Linked DNA regions of Drosophila melanogaster. The protein of the gene in region 1 interacts with the protein of each later gene in a pairwise test. Each region holds a gene or a part of one and is shown in the gene's direction. Other genes may lie near its edges.

What was found.
Region 2: the proteins of CG14410 (region 1) and CG5532 interact in a two-hybrid assay, tested with the Drosophila melanogaster proteins (one large-scale study listed by BioGRID).
Region 3: the proteins of CG14410 (region 1) and CG15209 interact in a two-hybrid assay, tested with the Drosophila melanogaster proteins (one large-scale study listed by BioGRID).
Region 4: the proteins of CG14410 (region 1) and CG13066 interact in a two-hybrid assay, tested with the Drosophila melanogaster proteins (one large-scale study listed by BioGRID).

What each region holds. Positions count from the first base shown.
Region 1 is NC_004354.4:14,834,697-14,837,876, forward strand, and holds CG14410 (uncharacterized protein), read left to right. Parts: upstream 1-2,028; coding exon 2,029-2,634; downstream 2,635-3,180. Other genes in the region: CG14411 (uncharacterized protein), read left to right, coding at 1-1,089; Grx5 (glutaredoxin 5), read right to left, coding at 2,867-3,057, 3,118-3,180.
Region 2 is NT_033778.4:23,751,181-23,754,054, forward strand, and holds CG5532 (uncharacterized protein), read left to right. Parts: upstream 1-1,573; 5' UTR 1,574-1,649; coding exon 1,650-1,725; intron 1,726-1,784; coding exon 1,785-2,047; 3' UTR 2,048-2,335; downstream 2,336-2,874. Other genes in the region: CG11300 (uncharacterized protein), read left to right, coding at 769-1,242.
Region 3 is NC_004354.4:10,840,411-10,843,555, forward strand, and holds CG15209 (uncharacterized protein), read left to right. Parts: upstream 1-1,794; 5' UTR 1,795-1,835; coding exon 1,836-2,279; 3' UTR 2,280-2,585; downstream 2,586-3,145. Other genes in the region: CG32669 (uncharacterized protein), read right to left, coding at 2,695-3,145.
Region 4 is NT_037436.4:16,270,954-16,274,170, forward strand, and holds CG13066 (uncharacterized protein), read left to right. Parts: upstream 1-1,955; 5' UTR 1,956-2,013; coding exon 2,014-2,025; intron 2,026-2,224; coding exon 2,225-2,494; 3' UTR 2,495-2,655; downstream 2,656-3,217. Other genes in the region: CG13067 (uncharacterized protein), read left to right, coding at 387-398, 472-699.

The sequences.
Region 1 (3,180 bases):
CTGGCGCAGCTATTGCTCGATCCGCATTTCCGTACTATCGATGGCTTCCAATCGCTGGTGCAGAAGGAGTGGGTGGCCCTGGAGCATCCGTTTCAGCGACGCCTGGGTCATGTCTATCCTGCCCAGCCGGCCGGCGGTAATGCCGAACTATTCGACAGCGAACAGAGTCCAGTGTTTCTGCTCTTCCTCGATTGCGTGTGGCAGCTGTTGCAGCAGTTCCCCGACGAGTTCGAGTTCACGCAGACATACCTGACCACGCTGTGGGACTCGTGCTTCATGCCCATCTTCGATACCTTCCAGTTCGATACGCAGGCCCAGCGACTGAAGGCGGTGACCGACTCGCAGCTCGTCCTGCGTCCCGTTTGGGATTGGGGCGAGCAGTTCTCGGACAAGGACAAAATGTTCTTTAGCAATCCGCTGTACCAGCGCCAAAGGGGCGATCTTGGCGCCCAGGCGGCTGCCGTGGCGCATCGCAGATCCCTGGCGGTGGGTAGTAAGGGAGCGCATGGCGCCGCTAGTGGTGTCACACCCTCGCGCAACACCATCAATCCGCAGCTCTTTGCGACCGCTTCGTCAGTGCCGCAGGATCGTTACCTGCAGCCGGCACATCGCATCTTCGATCTGCAGGTGTGGGATCAGTGCTACTACCGCTGGCTGCCCATTTTGGATATACGCGGCGGCGGCCAGCCGCAGGTGGATCTCTATCATCGCCTGCTGCTGAGCAACATAGCAAAGGTACAGCGCTGCCTGGATTATCAAAACTTTGACGATCTACCCGATGCGTATTACGAGTTCGCCGGCGAATCGCGTCCCAATCAGCACAAGGACGAGAAGCCCGACAAGGAGGACGAGGCCGAGTTCGTCGACGGTGTGGAGCGGCGCAGGAAGCCGACGGCGAAGGCCGCCACACCCACTAGCGGACTCACATCGGTTACCGGCAATCTGCAGCTATCGACCCTGTCGTCGTTCTTTCCCTTCGGGAATCCCATCGCCGGAGATGCACCGCTCCAGCTGTACGACATTCTGAGCAGCAGCAGCGAGCTGCTGATGGAGACCTCATCCTTTCTGGACAAGTCGTCCATTGTCTGATCCGCACACAAATCGGAGACACCACCACACACACACTCGTTCCACTTGTTTATTCAAAACGCTGAACTTTCGAAGTATTACACAAAAAACAGAATATAATTTGAGAAGAAGAAGAAAAAACACACACACACACACACACACAGAGGTGCAATTTCCTCACATATACATGGCATATCGCTTTTAACACTTTTGATTATTGTTAACTAATAAGCAAGTTATGGTATAAGTTTTTTTTTATTTCGTTTTACTACCACCAAACTGCATTGCATCGCTGCATTATAAAATTAAACGTAAATAATACGATTAACAAACGTAACGACAAGCAATTGATGTAAAACGAATTCAAAACACAAATCCGCAAAAACGAAAACGTACGAAAACACCAATTAAATCAATATGTATTATATTGTATGTAACTAAATATATGAAAGACTATTGATCGATATGTATATTTAAATAAATCAAATGTGTAAAATCAACAAAATGTGTTCTGATTGCGGCAACTTTTGAGAATTAAACGAATTAGGAACTATGAATATATATGGGTGAGTCAGCAAAAAAAATCGCATTAATATGTAAGCTTATGATTTTAAATTGAAGTGGATAGTTGGATAATTGAAAAGATAAAATAATTGACTAACAGTTTGGCTTTCGAAACGATTTGTGTTTGCTATTCTGAATAATTTTGGGTTCTTAATGTAACTCAATAAAAAGTTTAAGATTTTATAATTTAAAAAAAAGGAGCCATATAAGGGTTAACATAATTACAAGCTTCGATAAATAACTGTTTAATTCCCGATTTTTATTTATGATTTCATTTTATAGTTCGCTTGGACTTTCAGTTATAATCATAGCACATAGAAGTTATAATGAATTTATAAATATGCTATTATTATAATTTATTATTGGCACGAGAAACTAGATTAAACACTCAGCGAAATGGGTAATACAAATACGTTCAAGGACATAAAGGATTACACAATGAAAATCATTATAATTACAGAACGGAATCATGAATCTCAAAATAAGAAGCTATCAACAAGAAATGATAAATATTTGGACTTAAAGCATGAAATAATGGAAGTTAAAGTTGAGAATCTGGCAAACAACCGCATTTTAAAAGCAGAAAAGGATGCAAAGACTGCAGATAAACTCGACAATTCAGAATATTTAAAGATTAATCAGAAAATGCTTCTAAATGAGAACCAAGATATTGAGATGGAAAATCAGGTACCAAAGGATCTGGAAAAGCAAACTGATGAGTATCCCAATGAAGAGCAGTACGTCGGGAATCAGTTGCCACTTAGAAATCCCGCTCAATCGACTCCAACTCGTCCAAGTCGCGTGATTCCACCAATGCCATCGGAGGAAACGATGCGCCACTCCATAGCCGACAACCTGATGGAGATCCTGGTGAATATGACTAATCCGCAGCATCGACAACAGTGCTTTTCCCTCTTGCAGGTGGACGATGCTCTGCAGGCACGCAGTCGAATCCTATGCCTCCTGCAGCAAATCGACGAGAGGCGCAGGACGCGCAACTGAATTCATCCTATAGAATGCTTGCTTACATTATAATGGTACTTTTACAAAGCCTGCTATATCTTAATCACAATCATAAATGAGCGCCTGCGATTATATGCCATTGGCTGCCATTTAAATCACACGGAACAACGCACACCATTGTCGTTATGAGTTAAACATTTAATAATAAAAACGTTGCGTGACTAACAGATTTAGGAAGGGAATTTGATCTTTGGGCGCTCTTTTTGAATCATCACTTAGCCTTGTCGTCCTGCTGCTTAGCCTCCTCCGCTTTCAGCAGCTCCGAAATGATGCCCGCCTTCTTGAGCTCCTCGATGAGATCGCCGCTCTGGTGCATCTGCAGCAGGATGTCGCAACCGCCGACAAATTCGCCATTGATGAACACCTGCGGAATGGTCGGCCAGTCGGTGTAGTCCTTGACACCTGCACGCAAGCAATAAGGTTTAACGCTGGCACGCTAATGCATATGTGGAGCGTACTCACCCTGTCGCAGGGACTCGTTTTGCAGCACATCGTGGGCATCGTACTGGACACCGTGCATCCGCA
Region 2 (2,874 bases), on another chromosome or scaffold:
ACAATGAAATGGTCCAAATTGAAAAATAAATGCATACACAAAAGCAACAATCGTAGTTATGACTTGGTAACTTGGCACCTTAAAAACAAGTGAAATCATTTGGATCGAATTGTTAGTCAAACAAAGAAATTCAATATTCGGTTTCATCTTGGAAAAGAAGAAGAAGGCTACACTATATACTCTAATGAAGAATCCTAAGTAAATCATTTTCCGATCTAGTTAGTTGATCAAGTGGAACTGGTCTAAGTGCAGACATAATTCCAGATGATAACTTAATCGATTAGGAACTTGCAAATGAAAGTGAAAAATAGGAGTTTGTTCTAAGTTTTCTTTTAGTGAGAATTCATTCTTTATGTACAATATGCCATCTTAATCTTTATTTAAGCTTAGAGGTTATTTAAATATGGCTTTCTGTTCAAAAGGCTTAACAATACATATTCATCTATTTAATAAACAATGTACCGTGTTTGCACACATGCTAACAATACGTTCAGCCAGCCAATCCAAAAAAAAACCGTTTTGTTTAATTACTAACGAATTAGAACTTTCCACAGCCATCAACAGCTTTCGCGCTTACAGAGAAGATAGTCTCGTCTTTTTATTGAGTTTAATCTATTTGTCTTGACGAGAACGTAAAATGTACTCTAAAACATTCAAAGCAAACACAGATTCGACAATTAAAGCGAATCAAGTGGATCATCCCTATAAATACTCGGATTTAAACCACTATCCACACAGTACTCCATTTAGTGACAAACTGAGCTGAAGATGCGTTGCCAATTCGTTATCGCCTTTGGGCTTTTGGCCCTAATAGCAACTGCCTACGCCGATTCTCCACCTGCGGCAGGATCCCCACCCGCGTCATCTCCACCGGCTGGAACCCCAACCTCGCCACCTCCAGCGACTGGAACACCGCCCTCACCATCCCCAGCGACTGGAACACCACCTTCAGCATCCCCAGCTGCTGGTACACCGACCTCGCCAACTCCAGCGACTGGAACACCGTCCTCGCCAGCTACTCCTGATGCGCCCGCTTCCTCGACATCACCAGCTACGCCCACATCGCCCAGTGACAGTGGATCCAGCAGCAGCCAGGAAGTGATTAGGCTCAGGCGTCGGCTGCGCCGGCTGAGGCGTCAGCTCCGCCGCGAGAGGCGTCAGGCCAACCAGAGTAATCAGAATGGAGGTGGTGGTCAGGGGCGAGTGGTTCGCCGTGTACACCGTCACCGTCGTCTATTGTAAAATTCACGAACATGTTGGCTACGAATTTGAAATAAAATTCCAGACAGAAATGCAATAAATCTAAAAAAAACATAAATGTATTGAATGGCTTTTTAAATTAGAGGAACCATCGCTCTTTTTGTAATGCATACATTAGTAAACTAACTTATATTTGCCCAACAAACTTTCTAAACATTGCAATGAATATTTCGAATAGAAGCGTTCTAAACATTGAAATAAATATTCTGATTAGGAAGTTCGTTGCACATATTTAATTCAAAATGACCGCGAAACGGTGCTGCCAGATGTCTGAATTTCGTGCACTGCGGAGCGGATCTTCTTTCTACTAAGGCAGGAAGGGTCATACTAACACCTCCACTTCTCACCAAAACAAAGGTTACCCCGAAATTTAATCAAAATAAATCGAAATGCCGGTGGATTGGTTCGGATATGTGTACGCAGCCACGGTCGCCGCCGGAGGAATCATGGGATACGCCAAGGCGGGTAAGTGACCAGCCCCCTGACCGTGGTCATGTCCGATTGTGCAACGCCCTGCATTCCAGGTTCCATTCCCTCGCTGGGTGCTGGTCTGGCCTTCGGAGCCCTGCTCGGCTATGGCGCCCACCTCAACTCCCAGGACACGCCTCGTCCCCTGCTCCAGTTGGGCACCTCCCTGTTCCTGGCCGGGCTGATGGGCGCCCGCTGGAACCGATCCGGAAAACTGATGCCCGCCGGAATGGTGTGCATGCTATCCGTGGCCGCCTTGGTCAAGAACCTGGCCACCTATAATCGCTACCTAATGCCCGCCGGCACAAAGGCCCCTTAGGCTAATTTCCGGCCACATGCTGGACTTGCCAGGAGATTGCCCTACCTTCATTCTTCATTCGTATTGAATAGGTTTTCTACTTTTCGGTGATTGGAACTTTGGTAATGCGCTGTGTCACTTTCTAAGATAGTGATTAGGAACTGTACTTGCTGCAAATATATTTTATCACCTATGCTTTTAACTTGTGGACTTCTTTGTACTCAATTGTAATACTTGGTCACATTTAATAGCATACTTTCAGGCACTTTGGTATGACAGTTCGCATAGAAGCACAGAAATACACCATTTCGTACATTCAAATCTTTTTTTGTATATTTATTGTTTAACTTAGCTTTTGTTTCTTTTGTGTGTGTGATAAATTTACAGTTTCATCTATTATACGATGTTCAGTTAACTACAACTAAAACTTAGCTATTACATTTTGTTGCTGCATGAAAAGAGCATTAGGCTAGGTAAACGTAGAGTGATGGATTTTTTTTTTTTTTTAGAATTTAGGCTTCTAACAAGTTTATTACAATAATGAAGTGAATAATTTGAGTTTTCTGCAGGCAAAGTGCGGCAAGGTAAGTATATTATCGATTCTCCACCTTTCTAGCATTTTCCCAACAGGAAACGATAAATATTTGTTAAGTAGAGTGTACAAATTATATATGTTTATCACATTGGAAAGTGGGATTATTATTAAATTTCCTTTCGATTGATTTGTGGCTCAAGAAATAATTTAGGTTGTCTGCCGAAAGTGCGTGCATGTGTAGATGAAGTTTTTACAGAATTATATGTACTATTTTACAAAATTGTTTGCATTTTGCATTAAATTAGATTACATA
Region 3 (3,145 bases), 4.0 Mb from region 1:
TCCAACGCATTATTGGTCGATGACATCAGGAGATGCACACAAAAGAGAGTCAAGTGGATTGGTTGCTGCTATTGGGTGCCCTTGATAGGGTACCTCCCATAGCTGGCTATGGAGCTATCCTATACAGTGAGTCAGTCAGTTGTGTTTGGCCCACAACACGGTTATCAACGCTGCTGACAGTTCTGGGTTTTTTTTTTTTCTTCTTTTCATTCTCAACCAAAAATGACTAACTAACCAAAGCGGGCTGGCGCACGTGTTTGCAGTCTAATAAAAGCTAACAACGATCAGTCAGTGGAATGTTTTGGCCATTCCATTCGCACGTACATTTATTTTATAAACACTTTATATACATATGTATGTATATATAGCATAGCACATACATATGTATGTAGGTTGCTCGCATGCCAGATGTGAAACCATTAGGAAAATGCAAATAAGACTGACAATTGCGATTTTCCATTTAGAATTTACATTTATCAATACTTACTTCGTCGCACGTTACATGCAACTTGACAATCTCGACTTTTTTTCAATTTCCATTGTCACTCAAGAACGTCGTTACGTGTATTTGTCAAATCGTTATAATTCAACACATAATAGCGCAATATATTTAACAATAATTTCTTTGTTGACACTAATTCGGCATGCACTACAAGTTAGACTATGCTATTGCAATTTGTTTATAAAAAAAAGCTTTTAGCAACGCCTGAAGGCAGGCAAAGTAATTGTAGCAGTGAGTAATTAAATAAGCCCAATTACCGATAAGAATTTAAAACTCTAGACGAGGTATCTCTAGTTGCTTTTCAACTGTATTCCATTAGAATTGTTGCAAATAGAGCAATAATTGTTTGTGTGAAATATGAACATGTAAATGTAGAATAATATCATTCACATTTTGACCAATCAAACAAAGTTCTTAGACCTAAGATTGCCTGACCGATTGGTTCGGTACACAAGGAAACATTGCGACTGATTAACGCGGGGCGCGTCGTCCATTAACCCATATCTACTAGAAATTATTAAAAACTCTCGACCATTACAACTCGTTCAATTGGCTATGAATAAGAGCTGATAAGATTAGGCCAAACCAACATGCAGAAAATAGAAGACGGCGAACCGAGTGAGCACAAACTGCGCAGATAAATTGAATTGGAGGCGGACAGAAAAAATAAAAAAAAAACGTAGCCAACAAAAATACACAATAAAAAACGACGAAATGCGGGATCTACTACATACAAAATACAAAATACAAAAGGCACCAGCCAGACAATTAAATAACATATGTACCAGGGGTCGATGTTGTATAGTGTATAGTATAGTGTATGTGCTGCATATGCAGATAAAATAATTTAACCGACCCTACACACTGACTTTTCAATCAAAAGCAGCCCCCCAAACGACAGTGCTGCGCTTCGTTTCCAGCGTATTGAATTAAATGGAACATTTTTTGCATAACATACAATAAAATATACATTTTAAAAACACTCACTGCTCATCTATTACAAATTTATATAGTTTTAGAAGTAAAAGAATCTATATCCCCGCCTTACTTGCAGTTTAATGGCACCATTGTTTGCCAAAATCCATGGCATTCGAAAGTAACCAAAAAAAATAATAGCCAAATGCTGGAAGAAGAAAGCGAATGTCTTCGCCAGCCAGCACTGCCACACGGGGCGTTCGAGTGAGCGATAGGGAGCCGAGCGAGCGTACGAGCGGGTTGGAAGGCAGATAGAAATTGGAGCGCACCCCGAGAGTCGAGTCCAGGCCACGATCGATCGACATGCGACAGGCGGGCAGCAGTGCCACAGCAAAGCTACTAGCAGTCGGACGTAAACATGAAACCCATTGGGTGCAACAATATTCCGGTCATCTTCCTGGTGATCCTCGGCATGGTCAGCCTGGCCAATTCGCTGCCCATGAATCCCGAACAGGAGCTAAAAGATGTCGACGAGCCATTGGGTCAGCAACGTCAGCATAAACAGCAGCATGTGCAGCAGATGCAGCGCATGGTGAAGAGCGAAGCGGTGCCAGAGTCGGAGTTCGTCGGAAAAATTGCGCCACGCAATGAGCAGAATCCGGAGGATGAATACGATGCCGTCACATTGGTGGAGGAGCTAGAGGCCGCCGGAGTTAAGCTGGCCGATCGACGTGATCTGCGCAAGCTAACCTACACGGAGCTGGCCCGCCTGCTAGCCCTATGGCATCTGTCCCAGAATCGCAATGTTTACAATGCCAAAGGACCGGAGGAGCAGCCCAATCAGGCCATCGATGAGCGTTAATTTAGTTGCTTAATGAGTAAGCTCGTTTATTTAAAGCCAAAGTTCACTTAATATATATATACATATATATATATATATATATTTTGTGTGACAAGAGAAAAAGGCTAGTAGTACGCTCCACGGAGAACGAAGTGGGATGACCCATGCAGATATACATACTATGGCAACTATATGATATTCTCCGACCTGACTTTCTTTAGAACATTATAAGGAGCATTGTAATTCCAGCAGCAATTCTTTCAAATAATAGTTTGCCTCATTTTTAGACTCGTATAGAAATGCAAATAAACTAAACCGTATTATTGTACAGCAAAGTTATTATTTCTTGCAGTGATAGCTAATGGAGAGTAACTAAGGTCAAAACGGCGCTACAAAAAAAAAACAAAAGAAAAAACTACTAAGGTGATGTGTTCAGTTACGCCACTGCCTTGTGTTTCTCCCACTCGATCTCGTCCAGCCGCGGCGGCGCCGTAGCGCTCTCTGTCGTGATGCCGCCAATCTCCGAACTGGTGCCGGTGACCACCAGGAGCGGCATTTGTCGCCGTTGCAAACGTTTGGCTATCGGCGGCACGAAGAGATCGTGCTTGATTAGCGTGCAGTCCGCATCCTGGTAGATGCGTCGATTGTTGTCCCATTTCAGCAGGGCAAACAGCCAGGACAACAGCCATCCGCCAAAGAAGGTTATCAGGAAGCCCAAAGCAGCGTACCACATGTAGCTAATCCTGTACAGGTAAAAGTAATGCTCTTCCTCGGCCACCGCTATCACAGTCTTGAGGAAAATGTCGCGGGCAAAGCTCCTGTCCACCGGACATCCAGCCGTGGACATATCCAAGCTGACCAGCGGTGGCTTCGGTTGTCCGAAACCG
Region 4 (3,217 bases), on another chromosome or scaffold:
TGAACCCAACCCGGCAGTTTTTGTGGGTCATTTCCAGACTTGCCGATGGATGGATCAATATCCAGCTACGTTTTAGTATGCAAAACACGGACTCACATTCGATTTGTTTTTCGCTTTTCGTCACGCTTTTAAAAATACCAAACGAAACCAAAAGTGCAAAGCCATAATGCTCAAGATTCTCCTTGGCTGGCTTCAAAATGGACTTGGAACCGATCTGGGAATGGATGTGCATACCAATGGCCACGCATCACCTTCGCTTCAATGTGGGGAATTGGAATGGAATTTTCTCGACCGATTCTGCTATATATACCCGAGTACTCGGGCACTAGGAGATATCAGTCTAGTACTTGAGAACCAACAGTTCACAACCAACCCAAACAGCCAACATGTTCAAATACGTAAGGATCGCAGGATAGCTGGACTTGCCACCAAACAACGGATTACTCATAAGCACTTTTCCTATCCTTTCAGTTCGCTCTGTGCCTGTTCGCCATCGTGGCCTGCGTCTCTGCCAAGCCGGCGGTGCTCGCTTCTCCTCTGGCCTACAGCGCCTACTCCGCTCCCTATGTGGCAGCTGCTCCTTACTCGGCTGCCTACACCGCGGCATACACCGCTCCAGTGGCCGCCGCCTACTCCGCCTACACGTACCCCTATGCGTCCGCCTACTCCGCCTACCCCTATGCCGCCTACTACCGTTAAGACTGGATGAATGGATCGTGATCTTAACCTGACTGCTGAACTGGACCTGAATATAAACATATACACATCTATTGCAACAAGGATACACACCTTCCTGCTAACCACCTGCAACATCCAATCTTCTTACATCCCTGGTGTTAGTTCGACAGACTCTACATTTCCCCACCTCTGCCGACTGCTGAAAGTTAAGTCATGGGAACAGGACATACCACTTCAAGAAAGGGAATATTTTTGTTGAAATAAATACTGCATTTTGCGTAAAACGTATACCACTTGTTCATAATTTATTGCATCACTTATTCATCTCTAATGTGAAGGGAGTATGTATAATCACATACTTTTAGGCAGTACTCTTTTGCAATGGGTACTAAGTACTAAATTTGGTATACATTAAAATCCAATGGAAATATTATTTATAAAGTAGGTGATATCATATTTTCAGTAAATATTTCTCACACTAGTTTCATAAATTGCTAGCCCCTACATTTTTTAATTTTGGTGGGCTGGAAGGAATCAATGACTTTTTTAAGCTTTGTATCAATAAATTGCTTTGATACATTGGAAATTATTTTTTGGACTTAAAACCTATTATTTGTTAAAAAAAAAGGAAGTGTAAAGGAGGTTGTGTTCTTCGTGGTGGAATGTCCATGTTTGCATTGGATTAATAGGGTCAACGAGACCTCCGGTTTATTGAACTCGCGATTCCATTTATGCAAAGCTTTCGATTCCCTGTTTCTGGTGTCCTCAACCTTAAGCCAAGGGCTCAACTCGATGACGTCCTTCGAAACTGGATAAACCGCTTCTATTTTTACTTGCATCTCTGATTAGAATGCAAAGTGGCGTGTTCGAGTGGCTGACAATTGAAACGTACAGAGTGAGCCGAACTCCGGAGATGGCCAAGACGGTTGGAATGACACGCACGTTCACAGCCCACAAAACGCACTGAGTGCTAAATTATGATAATTCAATCGGCAAACGACAGCTGCTGACGCCAGTTGCGGAAATGCTCAAGATGAGCGGGAAAAAACATTCATTTTCAATAATAAATTCACAAGGAATGCGTACTATTCGCAGGCATATCGACAAACACAAATCTGCAACATTATAATTGTGCCAGTAAAAAGAGACCAAATGTTTGGCCCTGTTTTAGCCCTGGTACGTGATGGAAATGCTTTAAACTTGCTGGGTTTTTGCTTTTTCAATGGGCTTTGTCAAGGATGCTATGTATATTTACCTATATAAACCACTTCGAACTCAGCACAAGACATCAATCAGAAGTCTAACTTCGACGCTAACACAACCAAATCAATTAAAATGATGAAATTCGTAAGTTTCCAACATTTTTTTAAGGATACAATGTTTCAAAAATGCAACAATTCACAATCCTAAATACAAACAAAAACGCGTGTGTTCGAAATAAAACTATTATCAAACAGTGTAGATTTTTCAAACAATTTTTTATATTTATAAAACTTCTTGTAAATGTGTATTTTAATGTACTTTTTGTATGCATTTTATCCTGCAGTTTGCCGTTGTCCTGTGCGCCCTGTTCGCCGCCGCTGCTGCCAATCCTGGTCTGCTGGCCTACAATGCCCCTCTGGCCTACTCCACTCCACTGGCGTACAGCTCCCTGCCCGCTGCCGCACCCCTCGCCTACACCGCCGCCTACACCCCTGCCTACGCCCCCTACGTGGCCCCCTATGCCAGTAGCTACAGTGCCCACAGTGTGGCCCACAGCGCCGCCCTGCCAGCCGTTTATGCCGCCGCCCCTGTGGCCACCATCCTCAAGAAGTAAGATGTCCCAGGATGGCAAAGGGATTCCGCAAGGCTGCCGCACGTGTCCACCGGACGTCGTCACTGCCACGGCGAAAGATACAGATACAAACAGAGATGGAGATACATGCTCGCAGGCAAACAGAAATTAAAACGCAATGCATCAGGCCCACGCACTGACCGACTGAGAAGTGAATCGAGTTTTATTCCTTCCGTTTAATTTTAATCTTGCCGTGGGCATCGGGACTTTTCTTCAAAGGAAACAGATAGTGCAGGTTGCTCTTGGGAAGCGCCGTCTTATTGCAATAGATACCTGGATGGGAAGTATATATATATAGCTTTAGTTTGTGGTATTACATAGAATTATAAGTTCAAGATAAGGGATTTCATTTGAATTATTAACGAGTGCTGCAAGCTTTAATTTTTAACATTTGCAATGGTCACCAGAGCACTTTAAACTATTATATGATGAGAAGAATGAATTCGTTTAAGGTTAAATCAGGCCACCATTTTCATTAGACAGCTCCCATATGACAGAGTGCCCTCCAAGGGTGTGCCCAACTCTGGCCTGTTTGTGCGCCCACTTTGGTTCATCGACACTTCGCCACGTTCCAGGACGCAATCCTTGAGCTTTGTTTACGCAGTTCGCACCCCCTTAGCCCTGATACCCCCCTGACCCTTCGAGGTCTATGTGGCCAGCTCGCGGCACATTGTTTATCACTTTGATTGCAAGTTGCGTGTGTGT